Schizosaccharomyces pombe: one gene and its partner. The protein of the gene in region 1 purifies or fractionates together with the protein of each later gene. This does not show direct contact. Each region holds a gene or a part of one and is shown on either strand. Other genes may lie near its edges.

The links. The genes of interacting proteins can lie anywhere in the genome.
Region 2: the proteins of mim2 (region 1) and mim1 purify together in Schizosaccharomyces pombe (affinity purification with western blotting; one study listed by BioGRID). This does not show direct contact.

What each region holds. Positions count from the first base shown.
Region 1 is NC_003423.3:1,161,732-1,166,093, forward strand, and holds mim2 (protein mim2), read left to right. Parts: upstream 1-2,438; 5' UTR 2,439-2,586; coding exon 2,587-2,761; exon of another isoform or gene 2,762-2,777; intron 2,778-2,948; exon of another isoform or gene 2,949-3,110; coding exon 3,111-3,154; downstream 3,155-4,362. Other genes in the region: telomere cap complex subunit Stn1, read right to left, coding at 165-934, 1,089-1,187, 1,243-1,351; rib4 (6,7-dimethyl-8-ribityllumazine synthase), read left to right, coding at 3,750-3,791, 4,079-4,362.
Region 2 is NC_003423.3:880,464-885,386, reverse strand, and holds mim1 (MIM complex subunit Mim1), read right to left. Parts: upstream 2,928-4,923; coding exon 2,712-2,927; 3' UTR 1,472-2,711; downstream 1-1,471. Other genes in the region: SPOM_SPBC713.09 (uncharacterized protein), read right to left, coding at 1-345, 387-428; SPOM_SPBC713.07C (polyphosphatase), read left to right, coding at 3,735-4,923. UniProt on the Schizosaccharomyces pombe protein: Component of the mitochondrial outer import machinery (MIM) complex that mediates transport of proteins into mitochondrial compartments. Promotes the insertion of tom70 into the outer mitochondrial membrane.

The DNA of each region.
Region 1 (4,362 bases):
TCAGATTAACCGCTTATATACCCATGTGTACTTATTGATCTGTTTCCGTAAACATATTCTTAAATTAATAGAGGATTGTAATATTGCATATAGAACAATGAACTTAGTTTTAGGCAATTAAATCTCCGCGTCAATGTGATATTAAAGGAAACTGGAAATTCATTTTATACAAACTGATTATCTCGCACCCAGGTATATTTCTTTGCTTGCCTCCATTTCCCTTTTGTACGAAGCAAAAATTGACAAATGTGTTTAGCAATCGCAGAAAGAGGGAGTGTGATAAACATTGGGTTGGAATCTCTCACTATGCTTTGAACCTTGTGGGCTTCGAGAAGACCACTTGCCATCAGAGGAATCACAAAGCGTATTATGTCTTTTGAAGTGACAAGCATATAAACTGAATTTGACTTTCTCACAATCCGCCCATGTTGTAGTAATGTTTGCAAAGAGAAATTAAGCGCCAGTATGTGATTTCCATCACAGTTCTCTACTATTTCATTTTCGACGTTGAATATATGAACAAGTGGGAGGTGCAACTCTTTTGCTTTTAAATAAATAATGAGTTCTTCAATTGTAAATCCAGCTTGCACATTTAATTTACACATCTGCCTTATGCACTTAAGTAACTCCTTCGCATGATCTTTAGGAAAATAGGATTTCTTGGGTGTGCGAATGATTGAATGGTGATTTTTAGAGATTTTGGTTAAATTTTTTTTGTATCTCATCCTTTTCTGCCATGCCTTCCATTCATCATTTGGATCACGAAGTTCTTCAAACGACTGAGCAATTAATTCAACCTCAGATCGGAAAGAATTTATCTTTCCAAAGACACAGACAACATTTCCAGGAGACATAGATATTGCTCTTTTTGACATTGAAAAATCATCTTGAATAATAAACACGACACGCAATACCATCCCGCTACAATCATCCACTAAATTCAGTTAGGAAATAGAAAAAAGGGAGCTATAGAGGCAGATGCTTCTCAAAAGTTGATTTTATAAAAAACCTTAACTAGATTCAACAACTAAATGAGTCGTGTATGCAGTAGTGGAACTGCTTATTGCCTCAATGCTGATATTCGTTACCTGTTAAAACATGCTTTCCTTCATAAATATCAATTGCCGCAATATAGCCAACAATTTGAATCCATCTTATGGGAAATCCCATCCAGAAGCCAATGTATCCTAGATATTTGTAAGAATCACTTTGTGATATTTATTTTACAGAAAGAGCACTTACGCTGTAAATGTGGATGAAATGAAATTTTATGAACATCGCTAATAAACATGGGGTTCCATCTTGATAATGTAGGAAATTGATGCGTTAGTTGATTTTCATTTTCTAGCATTTATTAGGTCATTCCCTTAAAGACTTTCAACCATATGATTTGCAATTTTTCAAGTATATAAGTAAATAAAAATTAGTATGCTTCTGGTCAACTATCAACAACAATCGCAGCGTTTTCGAAAATTAAGCAATGATTTGGTGTTTGTGAAGTCTTCATCTTCCTGAGTGCGCGTAATAAGGATAGAGCAATTCTACGAGGATAATAACTATTTAAGTTTCTACAGTAAGATTAAAAGGAAAAAAAATATCTTAACTCTTTATTAGGACATGCATTGATGCTGTTATAAAAAATGCTAATTGACTAAACAACTTTATCAATTGAATTTAGTCTGGTTTCACGCAACTTAGTTATAATTGAATTTGAGAGAAGATCCTAAAAAAGACGTCTACTGACAAAAAGTGAGAGTACAGAATTCGTCAACCAATTTTGTAAATGTCACACCAATGTGCATTGTTTATATCTTGCTAAATTCTAGCACACAAATTCCTATCTTCATATACCGGATAATTCTAAATTATATGATTTATTTATGAATAGGGAATACGCAAGGAGGTATGAAAACCAAACTTCTTCAGTTATTGATGTTTCACATTCAACTGTTTTGAAGATAAATTATATTGCTCCTACTGTGTTCGATCAAGAAACCTCGTGGAAAAATGCATTCTTTAAAAGAGTAACTAAAAAAAACCAAAACTCCCAACTTTTTTTTGTTTTATGTTTATAACGGTCTATCAATTCTTCAATAAAGTGTTACCAAACAAAGCACTTAGAGGTAAGGATGGCAAAAATAAAGGCTTTTCTTAGGTCGAAATATTTGTTGTGAAACAAAGGGTATCCGCGAATAGCATGACAGCGGCTGTTCTGCTCAGCTTTCATCTGAAATTGAATAAACTAGCAATACCAAGAATACAAACAATGTACCCAAACTCATAGGTAAAGCATATAGAAACAAATAACCTCTTATCATCAGTGAATATGAATTATTTTTGCTGAATATACTCCCTGTTTTCAAAATTTAGTCTCACATGATCAATGTTGTTTCGACAAATGTCCTATGTATAAATGTAACAGCCACTATGTGACCTTCACCAGAGCCATACTTGGTAATAATACACTTTTAAGCATACGTTAAAGGGGTTTCGATTGCTGACAATAGAAAAATTTTTTAATTAAATTCTAAATACAACGTTGCTAGTTCAATCGAACTATTCTAAAGTCAGTTTAGTGAAAACAACATGGCCGAAGTTTTAGATCTTGAAATTGACCCAATTTCAGATGGAGAAGATGATACCTATTCTAGTGAATTGGATGATGATTTAAAGGATTCCATTGAACAATTGGAACGAGTTTTATGTTTGGTGGTGTTCCCGTTGTTAGGAAAGTTTCTTGGTCGTAAATTCGCATTTCATGGTAAGTTAGTATAAATTAAAGGAATAGGAATAGATGGTGGATTTTTTTTATTTGCTTTTAGTTTCTCAAAGAGGAAATAAGTTTTGCAAATAATTGAATAATAGAGCAAAAAAATCCGTTTTTGGAGAAAGATTGAGCACAACTGATTTTCTTATTCCATCAGCTTGAATTATAGCTTTTTCTTCCTATAAACTGTTTTTAAATGGTCTGCTTGTTGGTCTACATTTACATCTTTCGTTATTTTTTAAACATTTTTGTTTCCATTACTGTTCTATTAGTCTTTCATTCTTAACCTTTTCTACATCCTTAAACTTCTGTACATTTATTGTATACTAACCCTTGGATTTAGCATGGGCTCGCTGGTTAGAACGGAGGCGCTTGGTTAGTAATTAAAAAGATTTATTTCTGAATCTTCTTACATTCGCTGGTTTAATACTTATTGTTTCTGTTTCTATTATGATATTGTGTGATGAAACCCATAGTGTGCCATTCGTTCTCGGATGAAATTCTCTTTATGATCTGAATAAGAATTAATGAATATTTGATTACTGTATAAATCAATGTACTCGACATTTATTAAATTGTAACGGTTTTTGAATCCGAACTTCAAAAAAAATTGGAAATGTGTGTATTCATCGTTTTGCTTATTGATACTATTCATTATTTTTTCCTTTCTTTTTGTTCAAATGAACAAACTGTTTAGTAAAAATGAGACATTTGCATCTACGACAGCCTCGACATATTAATAAACGACGTTAATGGGGTGACTATTAGTAATCTATGTTCCAGTATTATACCTGCCTCATCAGATAGTAATTTCATGACTAAAATTAAAAAATTAATTAGAAATCAACATTTCTAGAACCTTAAGTATTAGATCTGTTGATTCTGTAAATCAGTTCTTGCTGCAGCTTATAAAGCACACGCACACCAAACTTGCTGCATTTTTCTGTATAGTCTTCACAACTATTTAATCAAGTAAATAATCATGTTCAGTGGTATTAAAGGCCCTAACCCTTCAGACTTAAAGGTATGAATCAAAAATATGAACTTGCGGTGTTTTCTTTGCGTTTCCTATTTAGCGCTGCTTGTTTTCACTTATATCCATGAAAAGAAGTTCGATATGTTTTTTTTTTTTAGTTGAACCTTTTCTTCTGAATACCGAATTTTATTTTATTTTCTACACGATATAATTATTGCTTAAGTGTTCTATTTACAAAAGCGCTTGGTCTTTTTTTTTTTAAATTTCTCCTCTTTCTCACGCAGTTTTTTCGTGAAAATAGTTAATTCAAAAGTTCTAATCAATTTTTTTTATAGGGACCAGAATTGCGCATTCTTATTGTCCATGCCCGCTGGAATCTTCAAGCCATTGAGCCTCTTGTTAAGGGTGCCGTTGAGACCATGATAGAAAAACATGATGTGAAGTTGGAGAATATTGACATTGAAAGTGTTCCGGGAAGTTGGGAACTTCCTCAAGGTATTCGTGCTTCCATCGCCCGCAATACATATGATGCTGTTATTGGCATTGGCGTTTTAATCAAAGGTTCCACCATGCATTTTGAATATATTTCAGAAGCTGTTGTTCATGGTCTTATGCGCGT
Region 2 (4,923 bases), 280 kb from region 1:
TTTTATTTCACCATCAGGCTTGGCTGCTTTATCCTCACTTTCTATTACCGCTAAATCCTCCTTCTCAGGCTTCTCCGCAACCGACTCATCTACAGAATTTTTAACGACATTTTCAGATGTTTCCGGAGACTGAGTAGAAGCATCGCCGGTGGATGCCTCAGCACCTTCAGCTGAAACTACATTCGAAGCAGAAATATCCTCAGTGTTTTCAACTACTTGAGTATTGTCATTGCCTGTAGGCTCATTTACTTGATTATTGCCATCATTAGATTCGCGGTCAACATTATCTTCGGCAACTGAATTTTTAGATTTAGCTTGGCGTTTTTTCTTCTTGACCTCCAGCAACTAGCACTCGTAAGTTAAATGTTACAAAATATTATGCATACCCTTTGTTTAGCTGCAGCTAGCTTTTCTTCACGATCTGACATCTTCAAATTTGATACAAGATGAAAATAAATCAACAGGGAGTTGTAGTGTGGGCAGAATCAGTAAAGTATAGGTAAGTAGGGAAAGTTTGCGTGAGGCTTAACAAGTCCACGGATAACCAAGCATACTAAATAAAGTAGAAACATAAATATAATATATATTTGATGAATGAAAAACTTAAAAAAATGGATTCATATTTTTTATACGCTAGAGAGTATAGGTATATTTTATTACGCTGATTCGGTTTGAAAATGAAGGAAGATACTCTCCAAAGTTAATGCAAGAGCAGAATCCTTTCATTAGTTTTTAAAGATTACTATGTGTATGATAATATTACTGTTTAAAGAGCAAAAGAAAGTAAATACAACCTTTGTTTTCAAGATCGATTCCGTGAATAATAAAAATCAACGTTGGCAACGCTTACAGTTCTTTACAACTTCAAACGGATTAAATAATCCGGTTTATTAAAAGACTCAACTAGCTTTGACTATGCCTATACTAATGAGTTTTTAATCGATCAATATATTATTGTGACTTAGTTCATCTAGCGACTGCTTTTTTTCATAGTCACTATTGAAGTAACAGTATTTTTTTGCTATATAAAGTGGTATTATGGTCACTTTACATTACCGTACTCGCTCAAGACAGTGCGAATAGGAAGGTTTTTTACCCGCATGGTATTTTGCTATGCATTCGTATTTGCTATTCACTGAGCGTATATAAATGAATGGATCTTTTAAGAGCTTGCTAACAAGATAACCTACTTGTACGCGAGTGTCAGAAGGTCCACATATTTGCTATAGATTAAAATTTATTATTACATTTAAAACAGATTCGTTAACAAAGAACCTTTTGAAATTACTTGAGTTAATGGTTTATTCTTTTCGCGAAATTCTATATCGCTGTAATTTGTGTGATCGTAGACTTCCTATTTGTGTTGGATGCGTACTAAAGTTTGCTTGGAATCCTGTTAATACATGTTTTTAAAAACCACTGAAAGTGTATAGCAATGCTTGTAGAGCGTATATCCAAGATTTAAATAATATGCTATGTAATTCTGTGCGATGGGTAATATAGTTAATTATTTAAATAGCTATAAAATATAGAACGACTACTGTTTAGGTTTGTCCATGCTACATCTTGGAAGAAAATAGAAATATAGTATTCTTGTTGGCTAATGCAATAAATCTTCAAGTTTATATAGCAAATTGTGAAGTCAGTATTCGTAAATTTGACAAAAATTTAATGATAATTTATTTTTTCAGATTTGCTGACTTTAAGTAGTCGGTATCTGCTTTTTATGCATAAACAAGAAGATTCAGTTCGAGGATCAGAATCCTTTTTTGTATCATCAAACTTGAAATTGTCTTATAACATCATTAAAGCCAACCGAGTGTACCAAGCATGCGATAATGTAAGTTTTAAGAATCATTCAAAAGTATATTTTTCAAAGCTTGAGCAACGACAGAAATAACCTGTAAAATTCTAATGAATCAATGGGCTGTGCAATCAATTTATAATCAGTTGAGATTTGTTGCTCTGAGAATAGTAATACTTACACGCCTTTACAAATAAGCGTGTTTTAGTCATTAAGTTAGAGCACTATCGTTGTTCGAATACAATAACAATTATTTAAAAAAGCGATGTGATGAGGAAAACAACAAAAAGCGTAGTACTGTCATTCAAATCAAAGTAATGTAAAAATAATGAACAATTTTAAACAATGATGATAGCTTCGATACTTGTCTCACAGCTCATATAAATCTTCGTTGACACCTTTTTCTATACTATGCTACTCAAATCAATTTGTCGGTCCGAAGAAGCGATGTATAACGTGTCACATAATGTTAATATAAAGGGCATAAATAAAATCAAAAGTAATTATACTTAAAAAACAGAAGAAGGAAGCTCAAGGAAAACGATCATAAATAAATTAAATGCAAAGGAAATTAAATGTTATTTTGCAAATATAAACACAATTCATTTGGGCTTAATTCGTTTTCCATCCCTTGAGCATATATATTCTTTGCATTGTGCCAAAGAAGCTCTTAATATTGTGGGAAAAGAAAATAAAAACAATAAAACTAAAGAAAACGATCATTAAAGAGAGTGCAAAGCTGAAACCATAATACATCTGAGAGAAACATGAGTTAAGCATTCGAGTATCTCAAATTTTATGAATACTCGCCTCAGCTTAAAATGAAAAAATAAAAAAATCACGAATAAGCAAACACCATTTCCCTCAAATATTAAAGATAAATTTCCTCGCACAGCTATGCTTCATTTTAGGCTTGAATATACTGATGTCTTTGAATAGAATAAATCCTAGTATGACCTGGAGCCCAACCAAGAGAGTGGATAAATGCATGAGCAAAGATCTCCCCGAATCCCAACATAACTCCATTCAAGAAAGGAAGGCCCAAATTAATTGCCGCATACTTGAAAATATGAATAACTTGTGAAAACAAGGTTTTTGGAACTGTAACTGTATTTTTCTCCATCCTGCTTGTCCAACAAATACTATAACGAAACGAACCAACCGGTAATCAACACAATTTTCAAATAACTCCTTTAGAGAAGTTTTTATATCAACTTTCAAAGCAATTGCACGAATAATATTTTTGGCGTAAATTCTATTATTAAGAATCAACTGAGTTGATGGGGCAAGTATATGTGGAAGGATACTTTATTCCCAATCAAAATTACGAGTGTCCCGTTCTTAGATGCTGTCAACGCTTTAAGGCGTCAGGACAATGGTTAATGAGCAAAACACTTTCCTCCTTATTCATTTAACGAAATTAAGTTAGTAACTAATACCGTAATGCAAGCTCTGACAAAATATAAAATGCGACATCTTTCATCATACATATATAGCGGTGAACACAACATTCGTCTTCACTAGGGAAGAGTATCACGGATCTTTTAACTGCTTCCATTACGAGCATCGAATAGTCCAAACCCAAATTAAGTGTTCTCTGGGGTTTGCAAAGCTCAGAAGCAACTTCTATTGACTCTGCAGGACTTCGGTTCATGACTACCCGCTCGTGATCTTAATTTAGATCGATCTTTTTGTCAAACAGATTAACAATACTTATTTCATTAACGGCTACTGGGAAATTTTGATTTATTTAAGTTGTACTGAGTTCAAAAGCCCTTGAATCTTTCAAACACCATTTTTTGTTTTTGAAATTGCCTGGGAAATTGTATTACAGATTTTGGAAAATTTCGTCCTAGTCTGAAGTGTCCTCTTTTTTTCTACTTAGGTAAAGTTTTTTTTTCTTTTATATACCGATTTCCTTCTTTTTAGAATGCGTCCCTCTGTAATCACGGTTGCTGTTCTTTTTGTACAGTCGACATGGGCTTCTTTTGCATTTGGCAACCCTATGAGTATGCGAAATAAAGCGCATACAAATGATTTAGTTAATAGCAAAGGAAAACCACTTGTTGGTAGATTTTTGCATATCACCGATATGCATCCTGACATTTATTACGAAAAAGGATCCACCGTCGATCATTATTGTCATTCCTATGATCATAATTCTGACGATACTCCCTTGGGTAAAAGCAAAGTGGGTTACCTCTCTCCTGGTCCTGGTTATGAATGTGATTCTTCACCAGCATTAATTGATAAGACATTGGAATGGCTTAAGGAACATCAAGATGATGTTCTGGGAGGCATTGACTTCATACTGTGGACTGGTGATAATTCTAGGCATGACAATGATAACCATTTTCCAAGAACACAAAGTGAAATTCTTGCTTCAAATGAGGACTTGGTTAATAAAATGATAGAGGCGTTTCCTGACGTTCCAATTGTTTCCGCTATCGGGAATAATGATATATATCCTCATAACATTATGGAAGCTGGTCCATCTTCAATGACTCGACAACTAGCTGGTGCTTGGGATGCTTTAATTCCTTATGAGGAACGACACACTTTTGAAAAGGGCTCTTATTACCTATGTGATGTGATTCCGGACAAGCTAGCAGCAATTTCCATTAACACTCTTTACCTATCAAACAAAAATGCCGCGGTCGATGGTTGTCCTGATGATAATCTAGACGAACCTGGTTCTCTTTTTATGCGATGGTTCAAAATACAGCTTGAAGCGTATCGGCTAAAGGGAATGAAAGTTTGGCTTCTAGGACATATTCCCCCTACAAGGGGCCAGTGGTATGAAGATTGTTATACTTCTTTTACGGATTTGCTTTATGAGTTTCGAGATATTATAGTTGGACAACTCTATGGTCATATGAACATAAACCATTTTGTGTTTTTGGAATTCGATAAGTTACCTGTTGATACAGAATCTTATGGAATCAAAAGTGCGCAACCAAAATATGTAAAATCTTTAATTGATGCCCAATACGCGGAGCTTCCTACATTTCCCGAGAATTTAACAGAGGAGTTTCTTAATGGAACCGTCGGGAATTACTCCTTGGCTACCGTTGGTGGTTCGATTATACCTGAAATGTTTCCAACTTTTCGCGTTTACG